Linked DNA regions of Caenorhabditis elegans. The protein of the gene in region 3 interacts with the protein of the main gene of each other region in a pairwise test. Each region holds a gene or a part of one and is shown on either strand. Other genes may lie near its edges. The genes, in order: rabi-1, icpp-55, F19C7.8 and hsp-25.

The links.
Region 1: the proteins of F19C7.8 (region 3) and rabi-1 interact in a two-hybrid assay, tested with the Caenorhabditis elegans proteins (one large-scale study listed by BioGRID).
Region 2: the proteins of F19C7.8 (region 3) and icpp-55 interact in a two-hybrid assay, tested with the Caenorhabditis elegans proteins (one large-scale study listed by BioGRID).
Region 4: the proteins of F19C7.8 (region 3) and hsp-25 interact in a two-hybrid assay, tested with the Caenorhabditis elegans proteins (one large-scale study listed by BioGRID).

The regions. Positions count from the first base shown.
Region 1 is NC_003280.10:8,581,793-8,587,886, forward strand, and holds rabi-1 (GDP/GTP exchange factor Sec2 N-terminal domain-containing protein), read right to left. Parts: upstream 3,295-6,094; 5' UTR 3,259-3,294; coding exon 3,188-3,258; intron 2,804-3,187; coding exon 2,599-2,803; intron 2,420-2,598; coding exon 1,760-2,419; intron 1,481-1,759; coding exon 1,313-1,480; 3' UTR 1,242-1,312; downstream 1-1,241. Other genes in the region: arl-1 (ADP-ribosylation factor-like protein 1), read left to right, coding at 218-328, 375-557, 617-865.
Region 2 is NC_003279.8:367,570-376,491, forward strand, and holds icpp-55 (Aminopeptidase P N-terminal domain-containing protein), read right to left. Parts: upstream 5,877-8,922; coding exon 5,762-5,876; intron 5,145-5,761; coding exon 5,048-5,144; intron 4,105-5,047; coding exon 3,786-4,104; intron 3,193-3,785; coding exon 2,855-3,192; intron 1,678-2,854; coding exon 1,206-1,677; 3' UTR 932-1,205; downstream 1-931. Other genes in the region: rnp-8 (RRM domain-containing protein), read left to right, coding at 177-371; R119.3 (DeHydrogenases, Short chain), read right to left, coding at 6,119-6,173.
Region 3 is NC_003282.8:4,634,692-4,640,986, forward strand, and holds the start of F19C7.8 (SH3 domain-containing protein), read right to left. Parts: upstream 3,405-6,295; coding exon 3,101-3,404; intron 2,280-3,100; coding exon of another isoform or gene 2,143-2,279; intron 2,099-2,142; coding exon of another isoform or gene 1,889-2,098; intron 1,843-1,888; coding exon of another isoform or gene 1,638-1,842; exon of another isoform or gene 1,610-1,637; intron 1,271-1,609; coding exon of another isoform or gene 1,137-1,270; intron 1,092-1,136; coding exon of another isoform or gene 879-1,091; intron 833-878; coding exon of another isoform or gene 760-832; intron 1-759. Other genes in the region: R105.5 (Vitelline membrane outer layer protein 1), read left to right, coding at 1,638-1,842, 1,889-2,098, 2,143-2,279.
Region 4 is NC_003284.9:6,032,904-6,042,117, reverse strand, and holds hsp-25 (SHSP domain-containing protein), read left to right. Parts: upstream 1-2,473; 5' UTR 2,474-2,654; coding exon 2,655-2,692; intron 2,693-2,881; coding exon 2,882-3,024; intron 3,025-4,175; exon of another isoform or gene 4,176-4,258; intron 4,259-4,416; exon of another isoform or gene 4,417-4,423; coding exon 4,424-4,561; intron 4,562-6,343; coding exon 6,344-6,449; intron 6,450-7,014; coding exon 7,015-7,138; intron 7,139-7,260; coding exon 7,261-7,371; 3' UTR 7,372-7,655; downstream 7,656-9,214. Other genes in the region: ipp-5 (putative type I inositol 1,4,5-trisphosphate 5-phosphatase), read right to left, coding at 8,081-8,107, 8,840-9,152, 9,207-9,214.

The DNA.
Region 1 (6,094 bases), on a different chromosome or scaffold from region 3:
GGAATGGTGCTTTCCAGTGTAAAATGAGAGGATTTTGGTGTTATTTTAATTTATTTCGCTAATATTTAAGACTATTTATAAGAAAAAATTAAGAATTTATTTTCTAGCCTTCTACGTTTTTTGCTCGTAAATCCACGTTTACTTGTATTCCTATTTTTCAAAACGTTTCAAAATATTTCCGATTTCAATTTAAATATCTGTGTTCAGATCAGAAGCAATGGGAGGAGTAATGTCATATTTTCGTGGCCTCTTTGGCGCCCGCGAAATGCGTATTCTCATCTTGGGACTTGATGGAGCCGGTAAAACGACAATTTTGTATAGGCTGCAGGTTTTTATTTCTGGCTGAAAACAAAACCATATAAGCTAAGTTTCAGGTCGGTGAAGTTGTGACCACGATTCCAACAATTGGTTTTAACGTGGAACAAGTCGAGTACAAAAATTTGAAATTCCAAGTCTGGGATCTTGGAGGACAAACATCGATACGGCCTTATTGGAGATGCTATTATGCGAATACTGATGCAATCATTTATGTTGTGGATTCTGCTGATAGAGATCGAGTAAGTTTGAAATTTTATTTTATTTTTTGTAGTAAGGATTTTAATATCAACTGTTTTAGGTTGGAATCTCTCGTCAAGAACTTGCAACAATGCTACAAGAGGATGAACTTCAAGGAGCTGTTTTAGCAGTTTTAGCCAATAAACAAGATATTGCTGGATGTTTGACTGAAACTGAAGTGTACAAAGCATTGGGATTGGATGCTCTTCGTAATCGTACCATTCAAATTTTCAAGACATCTGCTTCAAAAGGAGAAGGGCTCGACCCAGCGATGGATTGGCTGGCGAATCAATTGCAACAGAAAAAGTGATCAAATTCACGTGAATTCGAAGATTTATCATCCAAAATGAGCCCAGAACAAATTGTCTAAAATCTTAATTTTCTAGAATTGTAGATGATTTCTGGGCACTCGTAATACATTTTAATTCTCCATATTTTGTTTAGCTGCAAACACGAGGTGTGTCTTTCTCTCTATAATTCTGTGATTTTTCTTCCTTTTCTTCTATCCTGTTCTGTTCTTTCTTTCCTTCCTTTTTTGTCTTCAAAAATCTCGTTTTATTTAATTTCTATCCGCTTAATGATTGGTTGTTCTATTGCCTTATCCCAATGTTCTTGAGATGATCCGTTTTATAGTTGTTTTTTTGTAAAATGTAAAAACGAATAATTTATACCACCAAAAAATTTGTAATTGAATTATTTATTTGTATAAAAAGTGTGAAAGACCTGTAGTTTCAAATTATGGTAAAATACTATTAATTCAATGATGGCGTATGTTGGAACGCGGGACAAATCCTAGCCCCAGTTTGGCAAGTGACATGTTTTTCCGCAAGTTTACAACGTGAAAATATGAATCTCGAGGCCCGGGTTTGATCAAACCTTGGGACAAGTATCGGATACACGTGAAGAAGTCACAGACTGCGGCAATCTGTAAATCTTGAGTTAATTGAGAAATCAAGATTACGGTACCAGGTCTCGGCACGACTGAAAGTTTTGAAATTCAGGTTGCGAAAAAAAGTGTGCCTTTAACGAGTAAGGTAGTTTCTATTACGTTTTCTAAGTAAAGGGTTTCGAAAGAAAATAACGAATAGAATGGCAAAACTGTGAGAAGTGAAAACTACCGTACTCTTTAAAGGCGCGCACCTTTTTGGCAGTCTCAATTAAAATTATCAATCGTTCCGAGACCAAGAAAAGTGGAATAACTCACCCTATTCCTGGCAATTAACGAAACATAATGCCATTCTTGTTCCTCATCACCAGTTCTTACTCGATACGGACAAAACCTTGAAGCATTTGTTAATGCACAAATCCTTACAGATGGTTTCAGTTCATTTAATGGTTCAAGTTGAACACGATTCTCTCGAATTGCCTTCATTATTTCTTCTGATAACTCAGAGTTTTCGAATAGCATACATGGTTCAACTTCTTCAACGGTAACTCTATCAATAAATGGATGAGATGTCGTCGGATGTCCAGCTTCTCTCCAAAATTCAAATTCAGAAAAAAGAATTGGATCGATCTCTTCAACTGCATTTGCTTCTTTTTGTTCTCTATCTTCTGATGGTGTTAGTGTATATGTTGATGTAGATGGAAGTGATGAAGCTTTCTTTTTATCTGATACATTTGCAGCGTCTTTTTGTTTTTTTGATGATGAACTTGATCCATTGAATAGTTTTGATAAAGTTGATTTATGTTCTGGAGATGTTGTCTGCTTGAAATGGTTTTGACCCATTCCTGGAGCAGATATCAATTCTTTCAATGCACGTACTTCTGCTTGAAGAACTTCAACTTCAAGTCTTGATTCGGTTAGTAGTTTTTCTGCTTTCTCACGACGAGCTTCTGCTGTGTTTACCATTTTGTACGCCTCCTGTAAACTTGAAGATGTGATGGGAGTTTTGAGACTTTTTCATCGGTTTTCAATATCATTCTTATCTTTTTTACTTGGTCAACTTTCTAAAAATTTAAATTATCTTATGAAATTTTGAAAATCAAAATCGAGAATTTTTATAAGCTAATTTCTCAGGATCGGAGTTGTACTGGTCTTACCTGAAATAATTTTTCAGTAAGTTCTTGAACTTCTGCATCCACTGTCACTTGAATTTGTGTCATCTTTTTATCTTTTTCAGCAAGCGCCGTTCGTGTTGCTCTGAGCTCAGCCTGCATTCTCAAAAGCTCCTCAGCCCTAGGACTCATTAGCTCAGAGTCGGATGATGTCGAGGCAGATGATGATGTTGTGCTTCTGGCGGAGATTCTGAAAATTTAAGTTTGAAAGAGTTACTCGAATAATGTTTAGGGATGACAGCATTGTTGAGTTAGATTTGTATTGTTTTTGTAGGCAATTCAGTTGCCAGAGTCTAGAGATATCAAACATGGGTAAAAGTGAAAATGGTAGTGTTCCACAAAGAAAGGCAAGGCATTAACAATGAAAAGTTCGGCACTTCGTTCCGCAGATTCACGAAAATTACTCTTTAAGGAACCTATGAAACCGGAGAAGAAGAAGCACAGTTACATGTGGACTACTGTGGTCATAAAATACTATATAATGAATTATATTTCATTAAAAGAAATTACATAAAAGTGTATAATAAGAATCATTTACAAATTGTCAGTAAATTAATTAATATAAACATCTTACCTCACATTATCCTGGGGATCGACTGACAAATCGAGATGAATTGGGTTCAGAACAGAAATTGTATCAACCATTTTTGCATAATTTGTATTGCTTTGATAGTTTTAATTCTGAAATTAAAGTAAAGTATTAATGTATGTCAATGATAGAAAAGAGAAGATGTCTGTAGATGAAAAAGAAACGGAGATGTATGTTTTTTTCATTGATAACGTAATACAGATAGATTGAAGACAGGAAGAACGGGTTTTGGTGATGTAACGAAGGGGAATGAAAGTAAAAAAGGGAGGCGGGAAAGACTGGAAGAATAAGGTTCCTTTATAATCCCGAATGGATTATAAAGAAGACAAGATGTTGAGAAGAAGCATTGCGAAATGATTCTGAAATATCAGGGAATTCATGAAAAAAACTGGGAAAAAAGTCAGATGATTCAGAGAAAAAACACGACGAAGATGAGGATTGAACTTTGGGAAAGATAGAAAACAGGAAAAGAGAGAGAGAGAGAGAAGAGATGACACATGTGCTCACAGACAAAGATTCTTCTATGACCAGAGAGTAACAACAATAACACATAAACACAGAGATTGATTGGAGAGAAATTTTGAAGGGCAATTGAAGTTGCAAGATGTTCCTCAGAGCTTTAAAACGAATGGGGCATCGGATCATAATAATTTGATAATTTTAGATCTCGGCTAGAGACTCGAGCAGAATAATTTCATGCTATTCATTATTTGTTTTCGGAACCTTCATTTCTAAAACAGCTACAGTAAAGCTTATTCTAGTTAGGTATGTAACAAAAACATCTAGAGCATATCACATTTTGCAAGATGAATAAAAACCTGCAGCCTATACAAAATTGTCGTTTTATCGGCTCCGTTTTGAAAGCTCATGACATTGGTTTTTTGCTAGCAATCTGAACTCCATTTTAATTGACACCTGGATGCTTAACTTTTATATAGTAACCTTGAGAACCGTCAAAAAGTGGCGATTATTCAGTTTTCTGGAAGTCGAGGACAAAACCATAAACGATGATTTCCAATTTTCCAAAATCGAAAAACTAGATATAGAACATCAGTAAGCAATACACTGCCCTAAAAGTTCCAAGTTATCTCGATTAGAAAACATGAAAAGTGAACAAAAGGCTTGTCCTTCTACGCTTTTTTTACATGAAAAAAGTGCAAAACGTCCTTGGTTTTTCATCAAAAGGTTAGTTATACGACCACTAATTTCAAATAACCCTGTCCCAAAGAAGGAATGGAAAAAAAAGAAAAAGAAGTAAAATGAAGAGAAGAAAAAAGTTAGCTATTCATGAAGAAGCAGTTAGCGAATAGGAAAGAAAGGAGCCACCACACGGAAAAAAGAAGAAATTGAAATTTCGTGAGAAAAGTGTAATCAAAGAAGTAGAAGAAGTAGAAGAAGTTAGAAAAAAAACGAAACAAAAATAGAAGACTACAAATTTTTTGGAAAAAAAAACAAAAGAAGAATCGAAGTCACCTCGTAAAAAAATGTAGATCTCGTAAGAGCTGTCCGAAAGTACCACAAGATAATACTCCGAAGCTGAAAAAATGGTTACAGACAACGTTTTAAAATGTTTGACATTGTAGATATGTGAAAAGTACAAAATTGGCTTCAGTATAGACTTTTTGTTGACTTTGTGGAGCCAATGGAGCACGGGTTACATCGAATCATACTTGTCCAATCAAAAATTGGAACCTATTCCCATCAACTTTTCTTCCAAAAAGGAGACGAGTACAGCAAAACAGAACAACACGCAGTGTTTATTTTGCGGTTTCGGTTTTCTTCCATTTCTCCGTCTAGATCTCTCAACACTATGTGTGTCTGTATTGTATTGGTAGGTATTGCAAAGAGGAATCCGATCAAAAGGGAACGGCGGCCAGATTTTACGGGCAAAAAAGGTACTCAAAAGGGCTTATACAGTCACTCTTTAGAAAAAATAAATGGCGTCAGATATGGAATGTGGATAGTGTTGAAGTTAGAGCCATGTATCTAAATGAGAAACTAATCGAAGGTTTTCTACAAGGGAAAAAGTATAATTAAGAGTTAGAGAAGTTTTTCAAGAACAAGTTTCAACATTTCACACAGCGTTGGTTTTCGTACCAAAAGCTGACATGGTTAGTGATTTTCTGCGTTTTTTATGGTTTTGTACAACCTAAAACCGTCTTAAAGCTTAACACATGTTCTGTCGTATGCAAAGAATGGTGAATGAAAATAAATCGAAGAACATGTTTTAGGATGTGGTTGGGTTAGCAATAAGGTCATTCGAATTTACCGAAACTTGTGAATATACTTAACAAGGATCTTCGTTTTGACAGTACTATTTAGAAGTTTATAAACTTAATGTTTTTAAAACTTGATTTTAAAGAAAACTTTGAATAATTTTACAAAAAAGTAACCTATGCAACAGTAGAAAATATCCCAACAACATATAAAATTAGCCAAAATCAATCGAGATTTCTGTTTCTTTTGGTTCAATTAACTTTCCACAGCCTCACCACACTAAATTCAAATAATTAGTTAATTTATAGAATCAGGAAACTACCGAAAATGGCCTATATCAATCAAGAAAGAAACTAAAAAATGATTCAGTCCTCTCGGGCCTTCAAAATATTAGAACTTTATTTGGTTTCAAACTGCACAACACAGTGATCATTTTTTTAACATTCAGCCAGTAAGCTTAAGTCATTTTCTGGGAGAATTGTGCATTTTTCAACTATAACAAACTCAGTTGAAATGTTACAAGGGACTTTTGGATTTCAAGTGATGATATAATTTTGAAATACCAAGCAAACAGAAGCTTCGAGAGAAAATTAGGTAAATCGAATTCAGAAACAGATTCAATTGGTGGAATAGAAAACAGAAAGAAGAAGAAGAAAAAGGGAATTCGAAACGAAA
Region 2 (8,922 bases), on a different chromosome or scaffold from region 3:
GCGTCAGATGTGGCGAAAATTATACTAAAACCTGTTTAACTTGCAGAAAAACTTAATTTTTTTTGTTGAAAAAATTGAGCCAAAAGACTCAAAAATTTCATAAAGCGAAACTTTAAAAAAATATATAATTTGTTAAAAATTTCACGAAATATTTATGAATTAATTAATTTTTCCAGGAATACCCAATGTGCCGTCACTCGTCAGTTCCATCGATTGCTCACTTGGTCGGTGATCTGTCGGACTTTTGCCCACACGCTACAGCCGACGAGAAGATGCTGCTCGACGAGGCGTCTTCAATCATCGAAAATACAACTCCAGCAGTGTCTACTGCTCCGGCTGCTGCTCCAGGAGCTACAATGCTCCAAATATAGGAGAAGATCACATATACAATAATATAATCTTATTGCATTTTCGCAATTCTCGTTCTCTCCACACACATACACACATCATCCCAAGTATTCCTGTGCTGAATCTCAGTTTGAATGATGTTTCATACCGTTTTTATCCCACTATTGCCTTATCGTTTCCTGTTTTATTATATTTTTCATTTTTTATATTGCCACCACCACCACCAACACCACCCTCTCTATCTTTTTTTGTTCTTTTGCCTCCAGCAACATCATCACCTAGTTTTCTGTGAATTTTGAATTTTGTGTTCCCCCGAGTCCCCTCTGATAGGAATGATAGGAAAAACAATGAAAATGCGAGTTTTTTCAAAAAAAAAAATACAAACTAGGAAACTATAGAAACAAAAAAAAAACATTTGAGGCGCAGTACCGAAATCTCTCCAAATTTGGCCCGAAAAATTCAAAAGAAAATATTTATTTTTCTAAATTATTATTTTTCCGCCACTCCAGCCTCATTCTCATTGGAGCGCGCAAAGTCATGTCGATTTACGAGATTAAGATTTTCAACGAGTTTCATCATTGTTATCGATTTTCGTGTAAAGTTAACTAATTTTTTTGAAAATTTTCGCAAAAAATTTTGGATAATAAAATGTTCAATTGGCACGAAAATGCAGATCTTCAGCAAAAAAACCGACAGAAATGTGTAAAACTGAATCTCGTAAATCCACATGGCATAACGCGCTCCAATGAGAATGTTTTTAGCGAAAAGTTTGAACAAAGGAATATCAAATCAGGGCCAAATTTGGAGCAATTTCTAAAATATTTTCTCAATTCTTTCGGTATTCCACATTCAAACAATTATTCGGCCGTTCCCATGAGCCTCTGAATCTCGATGGGATCCCTTGGCACTGCAGCAGTCAACAGCTCAATCCCTCCAGCTTCACTAGTCGCCACGTCATCCTCGATACGGTATCCAATGCCACGAAACTCTTTGACAGGCCAATCCATCGGAACATACACTCCCGGCTCAATGGTAAATGGCACATTCGGTGGTAGATCAATGTCTCGGGATACTGTCGGACAATCGTGAACATCCATTCCGAGATAATGACTGACGTGGTGGGGACACAGCTTCTCCGCCTGATGAATCATCTCCTTGTGATCCGTAGATCGAATCAGGCCGAGTTCGGTGAAACTTGCCGCGAGAAGTTCGTTCATTCGGCGGAACAGGGCGCTTAGGCGGACTTTTTCCATTGAGTGGGCGTAGGTGAGCAGTTCTTCGTGAACGTAGAGAAGCGCTTCGTAGAGGGATAGTTGGGCGTCTGACCAGCTGCAAAAACGAATTTTTTTTTGGGAAGGTTTTTTGAAACGATTTTTCAAATTTCGTTCGAATTATATTAAACTTTATATAAAACGATTATCCACGGATTTCTGGCTTCCCTCATAAATTGGAATGGAAGAGTTTACCGAACTAGGCCATTTTGGCTCGGCCATATCTGGTGCCGCGTCGCGGCTCGATTTTAGTTGTAAAACTAAATGCATTTGTACGTGTGGAGTACACGACTTTCCCACGCGTTGTCCGGCGGGCGATTGTCAATGGAGCGCAAAAAATTCACTGAGGAAGGGGAGAACTCCGTGATTAGCACCGCCTATTTCTCTCACGAATCTATTTCTTCGAAATCTTCTATTTTTTAAAAATCAATTCCTGAATTCTGAAATTCATTATAGCGTAATTTTTTGGGAATTTCACCCTGAATTCCATTTCTACGGAACAACATTTTTTTCTCGAATTTGTGGTGACTCAAATTAGAATTTTCAAAATCTCCAGAAAAAAAATCATTTTTCCTGAATTTTCTGGAGATTTTTAAAGGAATAAAGTGCAAAAAAGACTCTTTTTGAGGCACCACCGAAAGGAGAAAGGAGAACACAAACCACGCCCATTTTTCCGTGCCGCGCGCAAGTTTTTCTGCAAATTTTTATTTTCAAACGAGACAGCGAAACTCCGAAATAACGCATATCGTGTTCTTTATCATCAACGTGTTATTTCGGAGCTTCGTTGTCTCGTTTGAAAATAAAAATTTGCAGAAAAACTTGCGCGCGGCACGGAAAAAATGGGCGTGGTTTCTGTTCTCCTTTTTCACCTGTTCTCCTTTCGGTGGTGCCTCTTCTTTTTTTTTTCTATGTTTAGCGTAATTTTTTAGCCATCTTGGAATAGCCCCGCCCATTTCTCCCACAAATCCATATCTACGAAATCTCGCATTCCAGAATGATTTGTGGTGTCTCAAACGGGAATATTCAAAATTTCTAGAAAAACCCCATTTTTCTTGAATTTTGGCCGAACTTCTGTAATTTCTGAAATTCTGAGAAAAATTTTCATTTGAGTCACCACAAATACTGGAATGCAAGATTTCGTAGAAATAGACTTGTGGGCGAAATCAGCAAAAAATGGGAAAACATTCAATTTTTTTTAATTTTTTGGGGTTTTATCACTAATTTTTAGCACTTACAATCCAGAAATCGGAAAGCAACGTGTCACATCTGACACATAACCATTCAAATCACACCCAGCATCCACGAGAACACATTCCCGGGGATTTAGGTCATTATTTGCGTCCAAATAGTGAATAGTGTTGGCACGAACACCACCGGCAATCACTGGTGGATATGCTTGCATTTCTGATCCACGACGACGTCCTTCAAACTCCAAGAGCCCGCAAATCGCGTTCTCGTTGTGTAGATCACGTGATCCCGATATCATTGAGCTCATTGTCTGGGCTCCCACGTTGCACACGTCACGCATTGAGCTCATTTCGGATGGAGATTTTATTACTCGGCGACGTTCGATCTGCAAGGAAAACTTGAAAATTGGCAAAAAAATAATTTTTTTTTTGAAATTTTAAAACGATTTTTCGGGTGTTCAGAAAAATTTTTTTTAGGAAAAAATTGGAATTTTCCAAAAGTTTCAAAAAAATAATTTCTAGAACTTTTTCCTAAAAAAAAAATGAATATTGAAAGCTTCGAAAACAGTAAAAATTGGGAAAATTTTTTTACCGTTAAAAAATTTTTTTTTTTCGAAAAAAAAATTTTCAGTTTAAAATTTGGAGCGTTTTCAATTTTATTGATAATTGGTGAAACAAAATAAAAAGTAAATAAAAAATTTTTTTTTTGAAAAATTTGAAAAATTAGATTAAAAATGTTTATTCTGGGATGAAAAAAACCTCCTAAAACCATTTTCTGGAAAATTTAAACTTCCTATTTTGTTCAGACAATTCTTTTTTTTCAAGAAAAAATCAAATTTTCCACTAGAAAATCGAAAAAAATTGACCTCGTTTAAAAATTGGACAAAATTTGAATTTTTACTTTGAAATCCTCGAAAATCGGATTTTTTTTTCAAAGCTTGAACAATTTTCTGCAAATTCTATATATCTCTAAACTCACAAAATGATTAATTTCCCGAACAGAATTAGCTTTAGCCTGTACAAACTTATAGAGTAAATCATCAGAAGTCGAATCAAAAAACACTGCAGTTCCCTTATCGCAAACTTTTTCCAAAGTCTGTAGAATCCGGCTAGTCGGCACACATTCCGTGAATTTTGCAGTCTTTTCCCATTCGGATTCAGTTGGTAGGGCGCCTTCCCATAGCTCATCATAGGCACTACGACGGTCAGCAAAAAGAATATTTGTTTCTTTTGAAGATTCGGATATTCCTGATTGCATTATGTAATAACAATCTGGTGTGGTGATTCCGTTTAGGTATCTGCAAAAAAAAAAAATTTTTCAAATTTTTTTCTGTTAAAAATTTAATTTATTTTTTTTATCAAACAATTTTGAATTTTTCCCAAAAAAAATCCGAAAATTGTGAACAAATCTATTATTTTCGTTGAACAAAAAAAAAACAAATTCAATTTTTAAATAATTTAATTTTCGTTCAGAAAAAGAAATTTGTCGATTTTCGGCGGCAATGATTTTTTTTAACGAAATTTTCCTGAAAAATTCAATATTTCAATAATTCCTGATTTTCTAGTTTTTTTTTTAAAGAAGAACATGTTAAATTTCTACTAATTTTATAACAAAAAATTTCGGGAAAATCTAGAATTAAAAAAAAATGTTTTCAGAAAAATTCTACTAATATATTAATTTTAGCTTAAATTTCGATAATTTTAGGTTATTTTTCAATTTTTTTAGGGCGAAATTTTGATTTTCAAAACAAAAATATTTTCTGACAAAAAAATTAATTTTCATTCTTTTTTAGATTTTTTGAAAAATTTTCAATTTTTTTCTGAAGAATTTGGTACTTGTGTATTACATGCCCTCATTTTTAAATTAAATTAAATGTTCATTAATTTCTCCATTTAAATTAAACGTGATATACATTTTCTCTTTTTAGGCTTAGAAATTGCTATTTTGCTACTTAAAAAATTACTATTAAAATGAGGGCATGTAATACACAAGTACCAAGAATTTCAATCAATTCTTGTTTTTGAAATTTTTTTTGGGAAAAATTCCAATTTTCGATTGTTTCTTCGATTTTTTCAGAAAAAAAATTTTCTAAAATTTATTTATTTGTTTGAAAATTGGATCTAAAAAAATTTCTCTAGTTTTTATTTTTTTTCTGGAAAAAGCTTTTTTTAACTTAAAAAGTTAATCTGTGGCCGAGTTTTCTCTCATCATTTTCACGGCCACGGCCATCAAAACCGAACCTGAAATGGCTTTTCTGTCGGAACGCGTGTGGAACATCCGGTGCAATATATGATTTCCGTGCTCCTTTCATCACAACGACCACTTGCTTTTCTGAAACTTTGAGAGGTCATGGCCTAACTTTTAAATGGTTTTCTAGGCCACCATGGTGATTTTATTACGGTACCGGGTCTCGACACGATGAATTTTGTAGAATAAATTTTTCTGAAAAATTTCGTTTTTTTTTTTAGAAAAATCAAATTTTCAAGAAAAATGGGAAAACATTTTTCAGGAAAAATTTAATTTTATAGAGAAAAATAGAATTTTTCCTTTAAAAAAATCTGAAAATTCGGATTTTTGAGAATTCTCTTTATTTGGATTTTAAAATCCAAATTTTCAAAAAAAAATTTAAAAATCGGAAAATTCCAAATTTTTGAGAGTAAACTCGCCTTAATTTTTTTTTTCAATTAAAAAAATTAATTTTTTAAAAGAAAATTGGAATTTTTACCCAAAAATTGGCAATTATTCGAGTTTTCAACGGAAAAATCTGAAAAATCCGAATTTTTGAAAAAAAAATCTTTAAAAATCCCAATATTCAATTAAAAACCGCGAAATTTCGGATTTTTGAGAAAATTTTAATTTAAAAAAGTCCTATTTGTACTGCAAATCCTCATTTCCAAATGATGGCCTAACTTTTTCAGAATTCTAGGCCACCAGGCCATTTCTCTGCCTCTTACCCCCAGTTTTGACCTCTTTTTTGAGTAAATTCATCAAATTCGTCCTTCTCATCGCATATTCCTCATTTGGAATTCGCGATGGCCACATTGGTAGGCTCCGCCCACTTCTGAGCATTTTTTTTTTGGATCTGATCTGTGTGGGAGGGAAATTCGAATTTTTTTAGAAATGAATAAAACTGAAAAAAATAGATTTTTTGGGAAACAGGGAACCTGAATTTTCGAGAGAAAAAAGGAGGTAAAACAAAAAATTCGATTTTATATTGAGCAAAAATTAATAGAAAAAATAAACTTAACAATTATGAACAGAAAAACCTACTAAAAAAGTCTAAAAAATGAATGAAAAATTGCAAAAAAAATCTACAATCGATACGAGACTCCTCCTCCAACAATGCAGTTCTCGCCGGTGATGTACCTGAAAAAAAGTGATTTTTTTTTGAATTTTTAGAAAACAAAATTATGAAAAAAACCAAAAAATTTCCGAATAATCGAAATTTTTCGGAAGTTTTAGGTTAAAAAAATTTTTTTTTGATGAAAAGTTTTTTTTCAACAATTCTGAAAACTAAAAGTACCAAAAAATTTTAGTTTTTTCGATTGTTTCAATATGATAATTTTTTTTAAATGTTTAAAATTGTATTTTTTCAAAAAATATTATCAATTTTCCAATTTTATGGTAATTTTGGATGTGAGATTTTTTTCTTCAAATTTTCGAAACGTTTCTCGATAAAAAAATTTTTCAACTGAAAAACTACAAAAAATCCTCTTATTTTGAAGAAAAATCGATATTTTCTCAAATTGTTCAGATTTTTTCTGTTTTTACCAAAAGTGACCAAATTTTGAGACTTTTCGATCCAATGTTTAAAATTTTTTTCCCGTTTTTTCGATATTTGCGGTTTAAATTTTTTTTAAATTTTTTGATTCAATTTTAATAAGTTTGAGTGTTTTTCGATTTTTTGTCCAAATTTTTTCAAATTTTTTTCCAGAAAATTGGTAGAAGCCAAAAAGTGCGATTTTTTTCCTTAAAAAAGATAATTATTCAGTTTTTCGACTGTTTTCTTCTTGCTTCCAGATTTTTTCTCGAATTTTTTTTATATTTGAATTGTATTTTTAAATATTATACTCCTAATCGATAAAAATTAGTTTTTTTTTCAATTTAAATTGGAAAAGAACGTTCTTTTTCGTAAATTTTAGTGATTTTTGATTCCAAATTTTTGGATTTTTTCAAAAAATTTCCCAGAAAATTTTACCTGGCTTTGGTAGAAGCCAGAAATTCGATTAAATAAGCTTTTTTGGGTTTTTCGACAATTTGTCAAGTTAGGAATTAAACTTTTAAAATTTTTTTCAAAAATTTTAAAAAACTAAAAGTATTTCTGAGAATTTTTCTGAAATTAATTATTCAGTTTTTCGACTGATTTCTGCTTGCTTCCAGATTTTTTCTCGAAGTTTTTATATTTGATTTTTTTAAAAAATACTCTTAATCGAAAAAAATTCATTTTTTGAATTTTTTCGGGACTTTTTTTTTCGAAATTTTCGTAAGTGTTAGTGTTTTTCGATTTTTGATTCTAAATTATTGGATTTCTTCAAAAAATTTTTTCAGAAAATTCTACCTGGCTCTGGTAGAAGCCAGAAATTCGATTGAAGAAGCTTTTTTTTCGGTTTTTTGGACAATTTTCCAAGTTTTAGTTAGGAGTTAAACTTTTTCAAATTTTTTTTGAATTTTTTTCAAAAACTTTAAAAACTAAAAGTATTTCTGAGAATTTTTGAGAAAAGCATTTTTTTTCTCGAATATTTGAACTTTTTAAATTTTTAAAGCTTTTTATTTTTAAATATCAATTCGAATATTTTACTCTTAATCAATGAAAAATCGATTTTTTTGATAATTTTTTTCAAAAAAAAATTCGAATTTGAAATTTTTTTCATTCAGAAAAGGGAATTTGACTATTTGAAAACAATTTTTTGTTGAATTTTTCGTAAATTTGAGTGATTTTCGATTTTTGATTCCAAATTTTTGGATTTTTTTTTGACAATTTTCCAAGTTTTGGTTAGGAGTTAGATTTCTTGGAATTTTTTTTTGAATTTTTTTCAAAAATTTTAAAAACTAAAAGAATTTCTGAGATTTTTTCCTTAAAAAAGAGGAATTTTTTAGTTTTTCGACAGATTTCTGCTTGCTTCCAGATTTTTTCTCCAAGTTTTTATATTTAAATCTTTAAAATTTATATTTTTAAATAATATTTCAGATATTATACTCCTAATCGATAAAAATTCGTTTTTTTTTCAAATTTTAATTGAAAAAAATCGATTTTTTCGATAATTTTTTAATTTTTTTAAAATTCGAATTTGAAACTTTTTCATTCAGAAAAGAGAATTTGATTATTTGAAAACAATTTTTAATTTAATTTTTTAATCCTTTAAATTTTCGTAAATTTGAGTGTTTTTTGATTTTTGATTCCAAATTTTTGGATTTTTTTCCAAATTCTCCAAATTCTTATTTTTGCAGAAAATTCTACCTGGCTTTGGTAGAAGCCAAAAATTCGATTTAAGAAGCTTTTTTTTGGTTTTTTTTGACAATTTTCCAAGTTTTAGTTAGGAGTTAAACTTTTTTCAATTTTTTTTTTTGACTTTAAAAAAAAATTTAAAAACTAAAAGTATTTCTTAGTTTTTTCCTTAAAAAAGAGGAATTTTTTAGTTTTTCGACTGACTTCGTTTTTGAATTTTTAAAAATTCAAAAATTGTATTTTTTAAAATTCTAATCGATAAAAATTCGTATTTCGATTTTTGATTTCAAATTTTTGGATTTTTTTCAAACATTTTTCCAGAAATTTTTACCTGGCTCTGCTAGAAGCCGAAAAGTGAGATTTTTTTCCAAAAAAAGATAATTATTTAGTTTTTTTTCTCGAACGTTTTATTATTTGAACTTTAAAATTGTATTTTTAAATAATATTAAAAATTTAAATAATAATATAGAATTTTTTTGAAAATTCCTGAATTTTCTGATTAAAAAAACATTTTCTGATGCATTTTAGAAACTGAAATTTTTTGAAATCTTTTTGGAATTTTGGAAAATTTCGAATTTGTTGATTATACTCTTAATCGATAAAAATTCGTTTTTTTCCAATTTTATTTGAAAAAAATGATTTTTTCGATAATTTTTTTGATTTATTTTC
Region 3 (6,295 bases):
GATAAGTCAATGTCCAAACGCCATAATTTACGCGTTCTTAAAGAAGTAGTGGTGGATGTGCGGAAATTACTGAAATTTAAAGTTTCGATTCACCCACAAGAAAAACGGAAAAATTTAGTTAAGTGGGAAACAACCAGCTCAAATTCAATAAAAGGGCCTTAATTCAAAATTCGCGGCCACACGATTTCTCAATCATATTCGTTTAAAAAATTATTGATTTAAATGTAATTATTATTTTATTCGTTTTTTTCCCAAAAATTTGAGAAAGCTTGGACAAAGAAATTCTATAAAATATTTATTTAAAATTTATTCAACCAAATCTCTAGCTAAGTTTTGGAGGTTTTTTAAGGTTGTAATTTTCTAATTTCGAGTAATATGACTGAATACTACAACTTGAGACAATGAACTCACAGGTCTAAGTTTTGTTTTGATATTTGGTCATTTTAGAGGTATTAGGTTTTAACTATTTCTCACAGGTCTCACAGTACAGGAGTCTTTGAAAATAGTTTCAATCAATTAATCATTAACGTTGACACTTTCTAATTGAAAGGTCACGTTCTGGTAGTGAGTATATAAGATTTTCTAATCAATTGAAATAAATCAAATCAAATATTGTCTGTTGTAAACATGCCCCTGCTGAGTGTTCTGCTCACCCTCGCCGTGTTCTACACTACTGTCCATGGAAATGTACCAACGCGGGAGGACTTAGTTGCATGTCCTGAAGGCTTAGTCATCAACGGATTCCAACTCAAACTTTAACCGTTGCGAGGCCTTTTCGAGGCTGATCATGGTGTCACTGAACTCGTCTTTTTCTGCAATCCACCGGACGGAAGTAACTATTCTAATTAGTAAACTAGGTAATTAAATTTCCAATTTAGACAACCAAAGCCCCGATAACTTTATTGTAATAGACAATAATTCGCCATATGGATACTGGAGACAGATTACATGGTGCCCCAAAGGATCTGTTATTATTGCAATCCAAGAAAAAGTTGATTTCGAAAAACTTGACAACGCCGGTATCACCAACTTGGCTGCTAAATGCGGACGTCCACAAGACGACAGAACTGTTCAACCATCTTTTGCCTCTGGTGTGATAAAATAACATTTAGTGTGTTCTGAGATTGAATTTGCAGAGTTCTTCTATGCTCATGGTAAATGGACCCAGGAAAACTGGTGTGATGTTGGATCGGTCTTGGCCAGCTTTAACCCTAAATCTACCAGAAGACGAGGACTCGTAAGCGCTTGTTATGGATGCCGTAAAATCTGAACTGCTTTTTGTATTGCCTCTGGAACGAAATTTTAAAAAGGCATTCCCTCGAACTGTGCATTTACATGTATAATAAATTTCTAATCTGTCATCTTCTTATCTAAGCAACACAGAGAACTCTATTTATCAAATTTTTCAGTTATAGAAATGCCGCAAAGAACAAAGATTGTTAACATAAACGCCAGCTTTCTCGAACTTCCATTGAGTTTAGTCACTTCAGTTTAGTTGTGTTCAAAGTTTTGTTCTCCTATGTGGGCGTAGAATCGTCAAAATAACAAACAAAAACCTGAAAATTTTTAAGGAGCGAAAAAAATTAAAAGAGAAGAAGAAATTAATTTCACTCAATCAATTAATAACGGCTGCAACTATGCACCTGCTGATTGCACTGCTCATCTTCACCGTGTTCTACACTACTGCCCATGGGAATTTACCCACGCGGGAGGACTATATTGCATGTCCTAAAGGCTCAGTCATCAACGGATTCCAACTCAAACTTGAAACGAAACGAGGCGTTTTGAGCCTAGATCATGGTGTCACTGAACTGATTTTTTTCTGCAATCCACCGGACGGAAGTAACTATTCTAATTGGTAAACTAGCTAATTCAATTTCTAATTCAGATACCCTAAGCATCGATAACAAAATTGTCATTTACAATGATTCGCCATATGGATACTGGAGATCGATTCAATGGTGTCCCAAAGGATCTGTTATCATTGGAATCACAGAAAAAATCGATTCCGAAAAATTTGACAACGCCGGTATTACCAACTTTGGTGCTAGGTGCGGACGCCCAGAAGACAGAACTGAACAACCATCTTTTCTCTTTGGTATGGTGGAATATAACATGTGTGTTTTTTAATTTAATTTGTAGCCAAGCTCTACACTCATGGTAAATGGACCCTCCCGGAAAGCTGGTGTGATGTTGGATCGGCCTTGGCCAGTTTTAACCCAAGATTTACCAGAAGACGAGGGCTCGAAAGCGCTAGTTATGGATGCCGCAAAGTCTAGAATAATAGCAGTGGAATGAAATTTTAAAAATGCAACTAATTGAACTACGTCTTTATTTCAAGTTCACGTGTATAATAAATCTTTTTCATTTATTTACGTTAAAAAAACGTTTTTTTTTGTTAATTACAATTATGAGAGCATTAGAGAAATTGCCATAGCAGCAAATTTTTCAAAACATAAATCTAATTTGATTTTGAATTTTGGTGGTGTATGTTTCGTTTTTTCATGGAAAATTTTGTATAACTTAAGCCGAAGCTGCCGATCAATCATGTATTTCCAATTTGAGCTCATATCTGAAGAACCGTTGGGCTTTTGCTATAACATTTTGCAGGAAATTTTACACTCTTGAAATGACACAGATCAAGAAACACGATCAATATTTTTGAAAAAAAAAACTTCGGAGGTTTTAGTTCAGTTTTTTGTCAAGTACTACATAAATTTCCGAGTATCCATGGGAATAGTATCCTTAAAAGTGGGGCATAATAAAACATTTCAAAAAAGAGTTTTCAAAACTCAATCGAAATTTGGTAATTTGCCGAATCCTCCAAACATTTATAATTTTTAAAGAACTTTTATAATTTCTGCATGTTCAGAATGTTCAAATCTAGAATGTTCAAATAGCAACACTTTGAACGCAGCGCAATTGAAGTATGAAAAAGTCGTAAGAAAAAATATATGACTTCCAAAATTATGATAACCAAGTTTTCACTACTGTTTGACGGTACAATAAATTTCAAAAAAAAAATTGGAAGTCATTTTTAGAAGTCAAAACCACAGCACTCACAAACACAATAACTCCAAACATTTGCATAAAAACGTACCTCTTAATAATCTATGTATTTCAGACAGCGAAGATGTACATTTCTCAAGTGCACTTGTCATGGTTTTGTGCAACTGTTGATGATGTTGCTGTTGTTGATGAAGATGGTAGGGCTGGTGAGGAGGAAGTTGAGATAAGGACGGTGATGCGGTGATGGATGAAGTGGTAGTGGGGGTGGAAGCAGAGTGCGATCGGTGATGCAATGGAAGAGGACGAGAGGCTCCTCCAGCAGTGGTGGTCAGGTGGTGATGGAGGAACCAAGGAGGAGATGAACACCGTTGGCTTGATGATACTTTAAACTCCATTTTGCTCACACACACACAATGTTTCCTGCAAAGAGAGATTGATTGAGTATTTCTTGACTTGAGAACTTGGAAATTTGATGGATTGGAGAGAGTTCAAAATTTAAAGGTTTATATACTTTTATATTCTAGAAAAAAAACAACGATTTTTGAAAAACAATCAACTTCCCTGTCAATCACTGTGCAAAATGTGTCCTGGTTTTTAAAGTCTTTTACTGGATTGTTTTTGATATGTTTTTTGACGCAAAGTTCCAGGTTAGAGTTTTAAAACTACAAGTTACTGGTTTTGCGGTTTCTTTTTTTGAATTTTCAGTCACCAGAGGTTTGGAAAAGGCCTACCACACGCGCCGCATAAAATTAAAAATATATGTACTTTAGACTTGGTCCAAAAAAACTGATCACAAGACCATAGTATACTCAAAAAATTTAATTGGGCGGCGAGGTTCTCACGAGTTCTCGAATGACAAATCCCGACTTTTGAGCAGATACAAAATAGCAGAGAAACAGCTTAATTGTGATTTATGGAATTTGAGTTTTTAGTTTTGCAAAGAGTTTCGGGCCTAACAAAGCTCAGATTTTTTCTGATAAAAACTGGAAGGGAAAGTTTCGCGATTTGAGACCTCTTACATGAACGGGAACGATGAACCGGTTGATCTTTTTCAGGCATTTTTGTGCAATAGGAGGCATTTTGTGTAGGCAGAAAAATGGATGCCTGCCTGCCTGCTTGCCAACAAGGCTGCCTACACGCATGACGCTTTGAGCTACGAGTGCCAAGGGCTTTTAATATACATGAATGAGAGCACGAATTCGCTTAATTTATGTTTAGAAAGATAACTAATTTTTGTTAAAGTTGGGATTATATGTAAACCATAAAGCCTGCCTGCCTACAAGGCTGGCTACGTCTGCCTACACACGTAGCACAGTTTGAGTTATACACTAACGACCGAAAACTATATAGGTAAAAAGATATAAGTGTCCAGAGGCAAATGGAAGGCATATTAGAGGCGCCCAGGCGGAACGTCAAGGTACCAAGCATAGGCTTGAAGGTAGGCAGGCCTTTTTGTGGTAGGCTTATTTCAAACCTCTAGGAAAAGAAAATGTAGCCTAATATTTTTTCACTTTTAAAACTCATAAATCCTCTACTCAATTAGTACATTTGCTTTCTGCCGACAACTAATTTTCAAAAAAAGATGAGATAAAGATGAAAAAACCAAAAACACTGAGCTTCATCTTCTTCTCTTCCTCTATTTTTTACCCAAAACTACAAAATCTTCATCTCCGCCCATATCATCATTATCCACCCTCACTTTTTGATGTTCTGTGTAAAATCAGCTGTGTGTCGAAAGAAACGAAGAAGACAAAAAATGGAGAGAAATTTATGCGGCTGTTGTGTTTTTGTGTGTGCTGCCACAAATTTTCTCCGTGTTTTTTTTCGTACAATGCTCTTTTAGTACGTTGTCATCCTGATGGAATTTCGGAACGCGGCGAGAGCAGCTGCTCCGGCTTGCCCGGCGATGACCAATATCCGAATGGCTCGCAAGAACTCATTATTCTCGTTTTCTTCTGCTAAAGATTTCGAATAAATTGCACAATACCCTGAGCATTGCACAATTTTACACCTCTTCGCTTGATGGCTCAATTTTGTTTGGGGATATGGAGATAAATTACCTGGATTGAGCTAAGGAAGAGCGAAGAGTTTTGGGGTCCCGTTTGGATTTTAAATAAGCTATAAACTTTTGAAGACGGCGTTTTTATTGATTTATGCCCGCTTTTGTAGAAGTTCACATTGTTCAAAAAAAAAGCCAAAAACCTTAAAATTTGAAGCGACATGGTGCAAACGAGATGAGAATATTTTTCAAGTATTTTTACAAGCACCGCTCTTCAACTGTTCAGTTTTTTTCAAAAAAGAGCCAATGTCTGAAGAAACTCGTCACAGACCCAGCCATTTTCAAACTCAAATAACTCAACGGAGAAAGGAGATATCAAAAAATTGACAACTACAAAAATCTTTCCCGTGTAATTTTGCACATTTCGTCAATTGGAAATTTTGTTGACTGAAGCATGCTCTACGAAGATACGACCCGTTGAAGGTAACCCAGTAAAAAGGGAGGTAAGGGAAGATACAGACGGCGAGGCACTCTCCTTGTCTGCGTCTCATCCCTTATGAGTTATGACATTATTTTGAGGTTAATAAAGATGTCTGCCAAATAAAAATCAAAAACCTTGCAGGTTTTGCAGAAAATATGATCCGCTCATCTTTCTTCGAGTTTTCCAATATTTGTTTTTCAGAACAGGTTGTTTGAAACAAATATAACTCCACAGAGAAGCGAGATATCAGAAAATTGCAAACTACAAAAATGCTTCCCATGTAATTTTGCACATTTTGCTATCAGAAAACTTTTGAATTGGATCGCGCTCCACAGAGTTGCAACGCGTTCTAGCATGATGGAATGGAGGAAAGGAGAGACTCACAATCAGACGGCAAGACACTCTCCCTGTCTGCGTCTCGTCTCATCATACAGTTATGGAAGAGTCAATTGAGATGTATGCCAGAAAGAAAAAAGTAAAAAATCTTCACAATTTTTGCAAAAAAAATATCATCCGTCATTTTTTTTTCAATTTTCTCTTTCCAGAAAAAAAATGATGGCTTGCTCAAAAATCACTGAGCCACGAAACTTGCACTTTTCCTGAACTCTCTTTCACAACTGATCACAAAATTATTATCACACATTGTAATGTCATTGAACACTTATACACGAAATATGACACCTTTTCTTCCTTCTCCTACTATTCTTGTGTTTTGTTCAGAAGGTCGTCATCAGTTTACAGCAGAAGCAGCAGCACACGTTTTACTTTCAGCTAAGAACACACACACCTGGAATGTGAAGAAAACA
Region 4 (9,214 bases), on a different chromosome or scaffold from region 3:
ATTAGTTGCGTCGTAGATAAACCGGGGCAAAAAGTAAGCATTGATAATGGATCAAGAGACGGATAGAGATTGGTTGAATTGAGGATTGAATAGCGATGATGACCACTACGCGGACATTCAATTGGTGTTTCATGTTCCGTGGAAAACTTGTACGTTTTGCCACCTTTACTAGTTTTAAATCTGCATGTTTCTCTAGACCTGGACATCTAAAAACAAAAATAGTTGAAACTCAAATTGTGTCAAAATGAACAAATTTTGAAATAATATTTTTCAAAAATACACATAAACTTTTTTATGGCGGTTCAAAATTTCAAGAAAAATTACCCAATTTTAGCTAAAGCTTTTATTTTGCCAGCCTTTTTGGGCCACAGTCGTCGAATCAGTTTCTTTTGAATTATCATTGTTTATTGCGCATTTTGGCATTTTTAATTTTATAGGTATCCAAAAACGACAAAAATGACTAACATTCAATGTTAAATGACTAAAAAAAAGAATTAGCTCTAATTATGTGATTTTTTTTCCCAATTTTCAAACTGCCATAAAACTTTTTCGAAAAAATATGGAGCACTCTCATTACAAAATTTATCGACCAAGACACATTTTGAATCAATACAAATAGAAAATCAAGGTTGATACCGTTTTTTTGTGGCGTACCGAAATCTTGTTGACAATATTCTAAGCTTTAGCTGAAAATAAACCGTTCTTTTTCCAAAACTCACTATCAGCCCGAAAGCGATTCTCCACTTTTAATTAGTGAGAAAAAAGTTACCCTATCAACTTTGTTCTAACAACTTCCTTATTAACACATCCCCTACGCTTCTCTGCTTATCATCCTTCTCTAACGATCAAATGTGCATGATCATTAAAATGTATCTCTCCATTAAATCAAAACGATAAGAACGCCGTCTTCTCCATTTTCGTGACCGGCCATTATCATTTCCACCCAGTCAGCCGCATTATGTGTACATCTTCATTTCGCGCGCTTTTCCCAAACATTTTCCCAAACATCTGCGCGCGTTCACTTTGAAGAAATCAACAAAAATTGATTGAATACAGCTGTGGTGTTACAGCAAACGGGGGGGGGGGGGGCAACAAACCGAGGTCCAAGATGCTTTTCGCCGTTGGCAATCGGGGGGGGGGGGTACCTCTAATTTTTTGTCAGCTGGCTGGCTGGCAGCGTGATATCCTCTTACCCCTTGGCCAGAATTTCTCTGCTCCTCATCTACACCCCCTCGAGCCTATCAACACCCACATAAACTAAACAACAAATATTGCAGTTCAGGACAGTGAACCCTCCTTAGTGCTCATACTTAGTGCAATGATGTTAGCATACACACACATATGTGCGTGTCTCCGTCTTATATTCTTATTCTCTAGCGATTTCAGTCACTCGTCCTCCACTATTTAATTGAGAGCTCATATTTTCCGTTTGTTCAGTATCTTGTTCTCAATTCAAATTCGCTTGACATTTATACCCTCTTCCCATTTCAACTAATTCATTTATCCAAAATTCTTATGACGTCACTAAAGTATCAAGAGAATGTAATCTACTTATAATTCTTCGTGCAGTTTAAAAATGTTAATCATCATCTCGTAATAGTTATTTTTGATTTATTATCTCCTTCTTATCTCTACTACAAAGCACGTTTATAAAACATGTCTTACTAAGTAAGAAAGGGTTTGAAGATTTCACCGGACTACGAGACATGTATCATTTGAAAGCCCCTGAATTGGCCCAATATGAACTCTAAGCTACAAATTTTCAGAAATCTCATAGATGCTCACAGCAGCATGGCTCACCATCGGTGCTCTGGGGACATGTGTGGTATGGTAGCAGGCAGAAATTATGTTTTTGTCAATACACACTTTTGTAATATCATAAAAAGCTCGGAAATTTTCTGATTTTTATTCAAAAATTATTTTTATTTGTATATTGACAAAAAGGTTTTTTTTTCAAAAAAATCCCACACGATTCATACAATAACAAAAATAATACACTCTAGCCAAAAACAATTTTTCTATCTGATACCACCATCACACCTGTCCTGAGAGCACCGATAATGCGCTACTTATGGTACTCTGATCATCTTTAAGCTCACCGCAAGATTAGTTCTGAAACATTGCAGCTCAACGTTAATTTGTTCATAATTTTTCAATACGGGCTTCCAAATTAAACATGCCTTGTTTAAAAGTCCGGAGGCACTTTCAGACCTTTTTATAGTTAGGGAATTAGTATGGACAAACTGTTGAAGTCTTGTACATATTTATACATATGAAAAAAATTTTGAGATGATTTAGTGTTTTTCATTTTTCAGTTTTCGACATATGTAGTTGCTTAATGTTTCAAGATACTTTCAAATTTCTAAAAAAAAAACGCGAACATTGCTCAACTCACGTGTTGTCAAAAACTATTTATTTTTCAAATAAAAAACTACTGTTGGTTGGAAGGAAAGCATTTGTCGATCATCTAGTCGGAAGAAAGCATTTTCCGATAATTCAGAACTTTGGAATGTGCTTCGACAACGATGAAAATGCTTTTTGCCTTTCCGATATTTTTCCCCGTGCTTTTTTCACAAGGCGTACAAAGACGAAAAAGCATCAATGGTGGTTAGAGCCAAATCATAACAAAAAAAGTTTCATTTTATATTTCCATCATGCCCACGTACACTCGAACTTACTCCTATAGTAAAAGGTATGGTCCATTTTTCCGATTTCGAATTCCCACTTCACACTTTTCAATGACGTTGTTAAGTTTAAAATTTTCAAATCGCAGTTTTACGGTTTTGTTTGCGTTTTCATAACGCATCATAACTTTCATATCATTTTTATCTACCTCTATCGAAAATGTATAAAAAGTTTGACTATTCGCACAATTTTGCAGAGAAATGTCGGAACGCCGTATCGACGTAAACCGTTCCAACTACTCGGTCATTGACAATGAATTTGGAAATATGCGTGATCGTTTTGAGCAAGAGATGCGTCGTGTTGAGGAGGAGATGAAACGTCTTCGCAGTGAATTTGAAGGTTGGTTTTTTAAATTTATTTTAAACTAAATATTTTTTTCTAATTGTGGAAATCTACTTTTAAGTTAAATATGTAGTCGTCAATTTTTTCCCGTATTTTACAATTAGATATATTTTTCAGCACTTTTTAAAAATGCAACTAGTTAGAACATTAGATTTGATTAGTTTAAAACCAGTTCTCATTACAGTTGAAAAGCTGTATGAAAAGGTTCAAAAATAATCTGATGGGTCAATTTTCCCAACATCTGCCAGAAACTTTCAGGCTAATTGTTCATAATTTCAACCGATTGTAAAAGAACTCGTACTCCTCAACCTATAAAAAACAAATATAGCTAATTTTGTTTTATCAATTGTTTTTCTAATATTAATTTTTTATGAAAAACATCTGACCAAGATTTTGAGCAACATAATAGACAAGATGTTATAGCCAAAAAATTTTCTCAAAAAAGTTGAAGTTTCCGCCTAACATATTTTTTAAAAAGTGTGAGTTCCCAGCTAATCCTTTTTAGAGCAATACAATAATCCCTCCACTACCTTTTTCAAAAAATTTGAGTTTTTCTCCAAAAAATATTTTTCTTAAAATTAGATTTTTCCGCCAAGTTTTACCTAACTCTTTCAAAACTATTTCAGTTTTTAATTTTCAAAAAATTGAAATTTTTAAGTGGAATTCAGTTTCAAATAGGTGTTCTCCATTTTTTGGAATGTTATAAACCCCCGAACTTGTCCAAGCGAGACAACTCACATTCATCCTGTGTTCTTGTGTGTTTCGATGTATTTCGTCACCACATTCCACTTATTTTTCTTTTGTTGTTATGTTTCTCAGTTGGCACGTCGAACTTGGCAAAAAAAAACCTGAGAGCGACAGCTGATGTTTGTTCATTCGTTTTTGAGATTATAAGTAGAGCATACAAAATGAGCACTTTGAAGAATAATGTACCAGGATGATCCGGAAAGTAGATTTAAGAACCAATACTTTCGATTGAAAATTGCGCTACACAGCATTATAGATTTTTGTGTAATAATTTAAGCTTTCTCTTCAATTTCACAAACCCATATTTTACAAAAAAAGTTGTTTTCGAAAACATTCCTGCCTCTTATTTTGGAGAAAAAAGGCCTCTTGACAATATTTTGAGAAAAAGCTGAGAAGAACACAAAGAAAAGAGGACAACGTCATTTTCCGGACCCTCACTGACCAAATTTCATTTCGCGGTGCCTAATGCACTGGAACTGCGCCAGTGACAGCATTCACCTTAACTTTCTTCGAAATTTGTCATTTTCGTCTTCAAATCTCTTGCCGAAATATTAGTGCGTTATCCCCCCGACTACGTCAATTAGTTCAACACTTTAAAAGCAAGGTCACCTTGCGTTTGGAGACAGGGTGATGAGGTTCATGATTGCAGGCTATCGTCCAAACGGAGGCCCACCGGCTGCCATCTCCAATCAGCCGTACAACGCCTACTCGAACACTTCTTCTCACCACGAGACTTCGAACCGTACTGGTGGATTCGGATCTCCACTTCCACCACCATCTTTCCACGGTTAGTTTGTACACAGTTATTTGAGATAGAAAAAAAATTTGCTGAAAGGTTTCAAAGAAAAAAAAACTTCCCAACTTTCCACAACACAACAGCATTTTTTTGGTATGCTGAAAACTGCTCCTTCTAGCATGATAATCCAATTCTTGAATTAAAAATTATACATAGTAAACGTGTAGAATAATATTTGGTCAATTTTGAACAAGATTTTTATTTATTTAGAAAGTTCGAGAAAAACCAGAAATAGTGCCCGAAAGCTGCCCTTATGTCGTTAAATTTTTTTCGGCAAACGACAATTTTCAGACACTATTTAAAATATTATTTGGAACTTTCTACAAACATATATATATATATATATATATATTTAATATTGAGCTTTTTTTCCTACATTCGTATATTTATTTTAATTTTAAAAAATGGATATTCATATTTTTTGAAAGATTTTCTGCAAAGCCCTTATGAACACCTCCAATCCCATTGTTTCACAGCGCTAGAAAAAAACCCAAATGGATGGTTGCAAAATGAAGAAATTTTCAGTGGCTGCATGCCTATGTGTGCTTAGCGTGGGGGCACTTCTTCATCCTCCTTTTCCCTCTCTTCCTTCCTTTTTTTGTCGTCGTGTTCCAATAACTGGCCATGCAAAAAAACATGTTTTCTAAGACTCGTTTCTTGTTCTTGATGGCTTTTCAAAACAGGATTTCTTGAATCGGTATGAAAGTCAAACGGAGGATTCGTCATATTTTGGCGATAACGATTCGGAAAATTTTCGAATTTTAGGACGGGAGGGAGAAAGGAAATAGCAAAGGGACGAATAACGCATCATTCAGCGTATGAAATTATCTGCAGCCGGCATCAATTTTGAATTTTCACTCACTCCGTTTCATTTTCATCCATCCATTCGTCATTTTAACTCTTTCCCTTACTATTATTCGCCCATCATCAATCAGAGTAAAACTCAGAATGGGCATGATATGAGCCGGCCAACTCACAAACTCTTTTTGTCAGTTTGGTTTGACACAGAAAACAAGGACAAACTAAGAGCATACTTGTAGAAAAGTAATGTGTCGTTGGAAATTCCCAATTGCACAATTGAGACGGGCTCACCAGATTTTTTTTTCGTCAAAAATATAGTTTTTTTTTCTGTTTCGTAGTGACCTTTTCATGCAGATTTCAACTTTTTAATATCAAAAGTGGGATTTCGCAAAAAAATAACTAAATCTCTAAAATGTTTTAGACATTTTAAAGATTTTCCTAAATGCCTAGTTTAAGTTAAAATGACAAATTTTTGAAAACAATTAGAGCTTTCCTGCAAATTTGAAGCCTTTAAATTATTGAATAAAAATATTTAAATCTATATTAAAAATTCACACCATAAGAAAAATTTTAAAAAATTTGCCCGGAGGTTTTTGTGCATATTCCTCATCTACCAATGTTTATGTTTTCATATTAGGTTTTTTTTCTTTTGACCAATTTTGCTTATTTATCGATGGTTCCCAACAACACTACGTCGGTATTAAATTTCAGCGCAACATTTTTTTCTTTTTTGCCTTTCTGCGGGTTTCTGTGAATATGTTCTTTTTGTTGTGAACTCGCAAAATATATTCAAAACCAAATTATTACACAGTAGTTTTATGCACTCAGCACATCCTGAGAGGTCGCGTAGGCAGCCGCATAGCAACATTTCGGCAACAACACTGCAACCTCGGCGACGAGTTTTGCTCTATTTTCTATTGTTGTGCTACGTCGCATTCGCGTTTTTCATATTATTCACTTTTTTTGTTGCAGGACCCAGCGACTTGATGGCTCATCGTCCAACCTACGATCCATACTTGGACAACTTGAAGAGCCCACTCATCAAGGATGAAAGTGATGGAAAGACTCTTCGTCTCAGGTACTTTTTTGAGGCATTTTCAACTCTTAGATTAAGTTAAAAGATTCAAATTTTATTCGAAAAATATTAAAAATATAATTTTAATTCTGTATTTACCGGCCTCAAACTATTCAAAATAACGAACTCAAATTTTATAAATATTCTGAAAATTATCTAAATGTTTCCGATTTTTCAAAACTTTCAGACAAAGTAGTGAAAAATCTCCAAAAGTTAAAATCTTTGAATTTTTGTGATGTTCAAATAACTCGTCCAAGTTCAAAGCCAAACAATGTATGAATGAAAGTATTGAGGAAAAAAATCGCCTTAACTTTTTCAAAAATCAATTTCCAAAGTTGAAAAAATATTTTCAAAGTTATTTTTTTAAATTATACATAAAAATTTTACTCTTATTCCAAGCATGAATATCAATCACATTTCATTTTGGTTAGCTCTAAATTCAACAAACTCATAAAATTGAAATTTCGAGTCAAAAAAATCTGTACCATAACCGAAAAATTGATAAAACTTATTTTTTACCAGTCAAGAGAAAAACTGAATTTTTTATTTAACAAAACTGAAATTCCAGATTTGACGTAGCTAACTACAAGCCAGAGGAGGTTACCGTCAAGACTATTGACAACCGTCTTCTTGTCCACGCCAAACACGAGGAGAAGACCCCACAACGCACCGTTTTCAGAGAGTACAACCAGGTGGGTGTTTTTTATTTTTATTTTAGAATTCAAACAGTTCTCTTGGGGCTAAAAATATGGAGCGAGGCCCCAAGGTGTCACTCTTCATTCAGTTGCATTAATCTATACAATCAAATTTCCAGGAATTCCTTCTTCCAAGAGGCACCAACCCAGAACAAATCTCATCGACTCTTTCGACTGATGGCGTGCTCACTGTCGAGGCTCCACTCCCACAATTGGCAATCCAGCAATGAAACCAAAAATATCGCCGCCTGCTTCCTCACCAACCCGAATAACGCAACAAAAACTTTACATTTTTCTAATAAATCAACTTTTTCTTGTAGTGTAAATCATTAAAACTTGTAGACTCAACCATAATCCTTTCTTTAAACATGTTTACGATTCATTTTCCAATTCAATCCGCTTCATTTTTCAATACATTTAATACCTACAAATCTTATTGGTTGTTCATCAATTTTCTGGAGTAAATGTTCATCTTTTCATTAAATCTATAATAAGATCGCAATTTTATCAAATGATTCGTTTTAACAATTGATTGATACTGATGGAAAGTGTCAGGCAAAGCAAAAAGTGTATAAGACTAGCAATACATCACTGAAAATGGAGAGAAAAAGAAACAAAAAATCGATTATGATAAAAATTGTTTTAAAAAGTTAAAGAGTTCCCCGTGCATTATATGAAAATAAAAAGAAAAAAGAAAAGAAACACGTTTCTGATCATTCAATGAAAAAATAAATTTTCTAGCGGAAAAAAGCGAACTGGGAAAAAATGGAATTTTGATAGAGTTTGAAAATTGATAGTAACAACGAGAACAAAAAGTAGGTATTCGAAACTCAGAGTTCGCGCAAGCCAATTTGAAAATGTTTATCCGTAGCTTCGAGATGAAGAAAAAAAAAAAGAAAAATGGAGGCTGGCCAAAATGAGGGAAAATGGAAAACCATGTCAGATGTTGAATGTTAGCATGACCGGCTGAAAAAATAATAATTCAAATTTTTTTGTTGATTAAAGAGTTTTAGAATTCAAAAGATTATTTAAAATAAAAACTAAAACGAGGTCTTAGTGTAGTTTTTTTTTAACATATTAATCCAATGTAATCATCATAAAGCTATTCAAAATTATATTTAAAACATGTTTTTTTTTGATATTCAAGTATTCAGGAAAGTTGTTTTCAATTTGAACACAAGTTAACTTTTATTTTGTAATTCTGAATAATTCTTTGAAAAAGTTTAAAAATAGTATTATTTAATGCTGTTCAAGCTATTTTGATATACTGTTTAAAAAAAAATTTCAAATTTTTTAAATAAAGTTTTTTTAAGGAATTATTTTTATAGCAACAACAAGTTGTTGAAAATAGTCTGAATATAATATCAAATTAAATTCACTCGAATTCTTAATAAAAATTTGACATGAATTTTCCCATTTCTTTTTCACAGCTTCCAGTCAACGTTTTCTAGTCAACTAGTCAACGACAAACTGACAAATCTTGAATAAAAATGAGTTAATTTGAGAAGTTTCAATCATTTGTGAAGATTTTCAAAACCTTTTCAAAGCATTTTTTTTAATTATAAAATCTGAGTTAAAAAAAAACCAAAAAATCTGTTAAAAAAAGATATTTGTCTCTCACTACATAAAACTACACTAAATTATGTCATTGTTAAATATAGTATTTTAATAAAAATATTCCAAAAATTAGAATATTACCTTATGATCTCCAGTACAAGTTTCCATTCCAAATGACCTATACTGAGGCTCTCCTTCTTCCACCAACGAGTATGCATTTTTATTCATCAGAACCCGATCACACCATGCGGGTGCCCTAGTCTTCATCAGAGTTTCGGAATTTTCTGGATCTTCACTCCACGGGTATGTTGGAGGGAAATTTATATGCATCTCAAACATGCTCTGAAAGTTTTCGGTTTCTTTGTCGTCATCTCTGTACGATCGCCAGTCGTCCAGTAGTTTTTTGTGATTGAAATAGTCAAATTTCTTTTTTTCGATCCGTAGAACACAACTGCTGAAATTTTAATTCTTTGGTTCTTGTTTAAGTTTGTACTTTCAATAATCATACTTTTGACT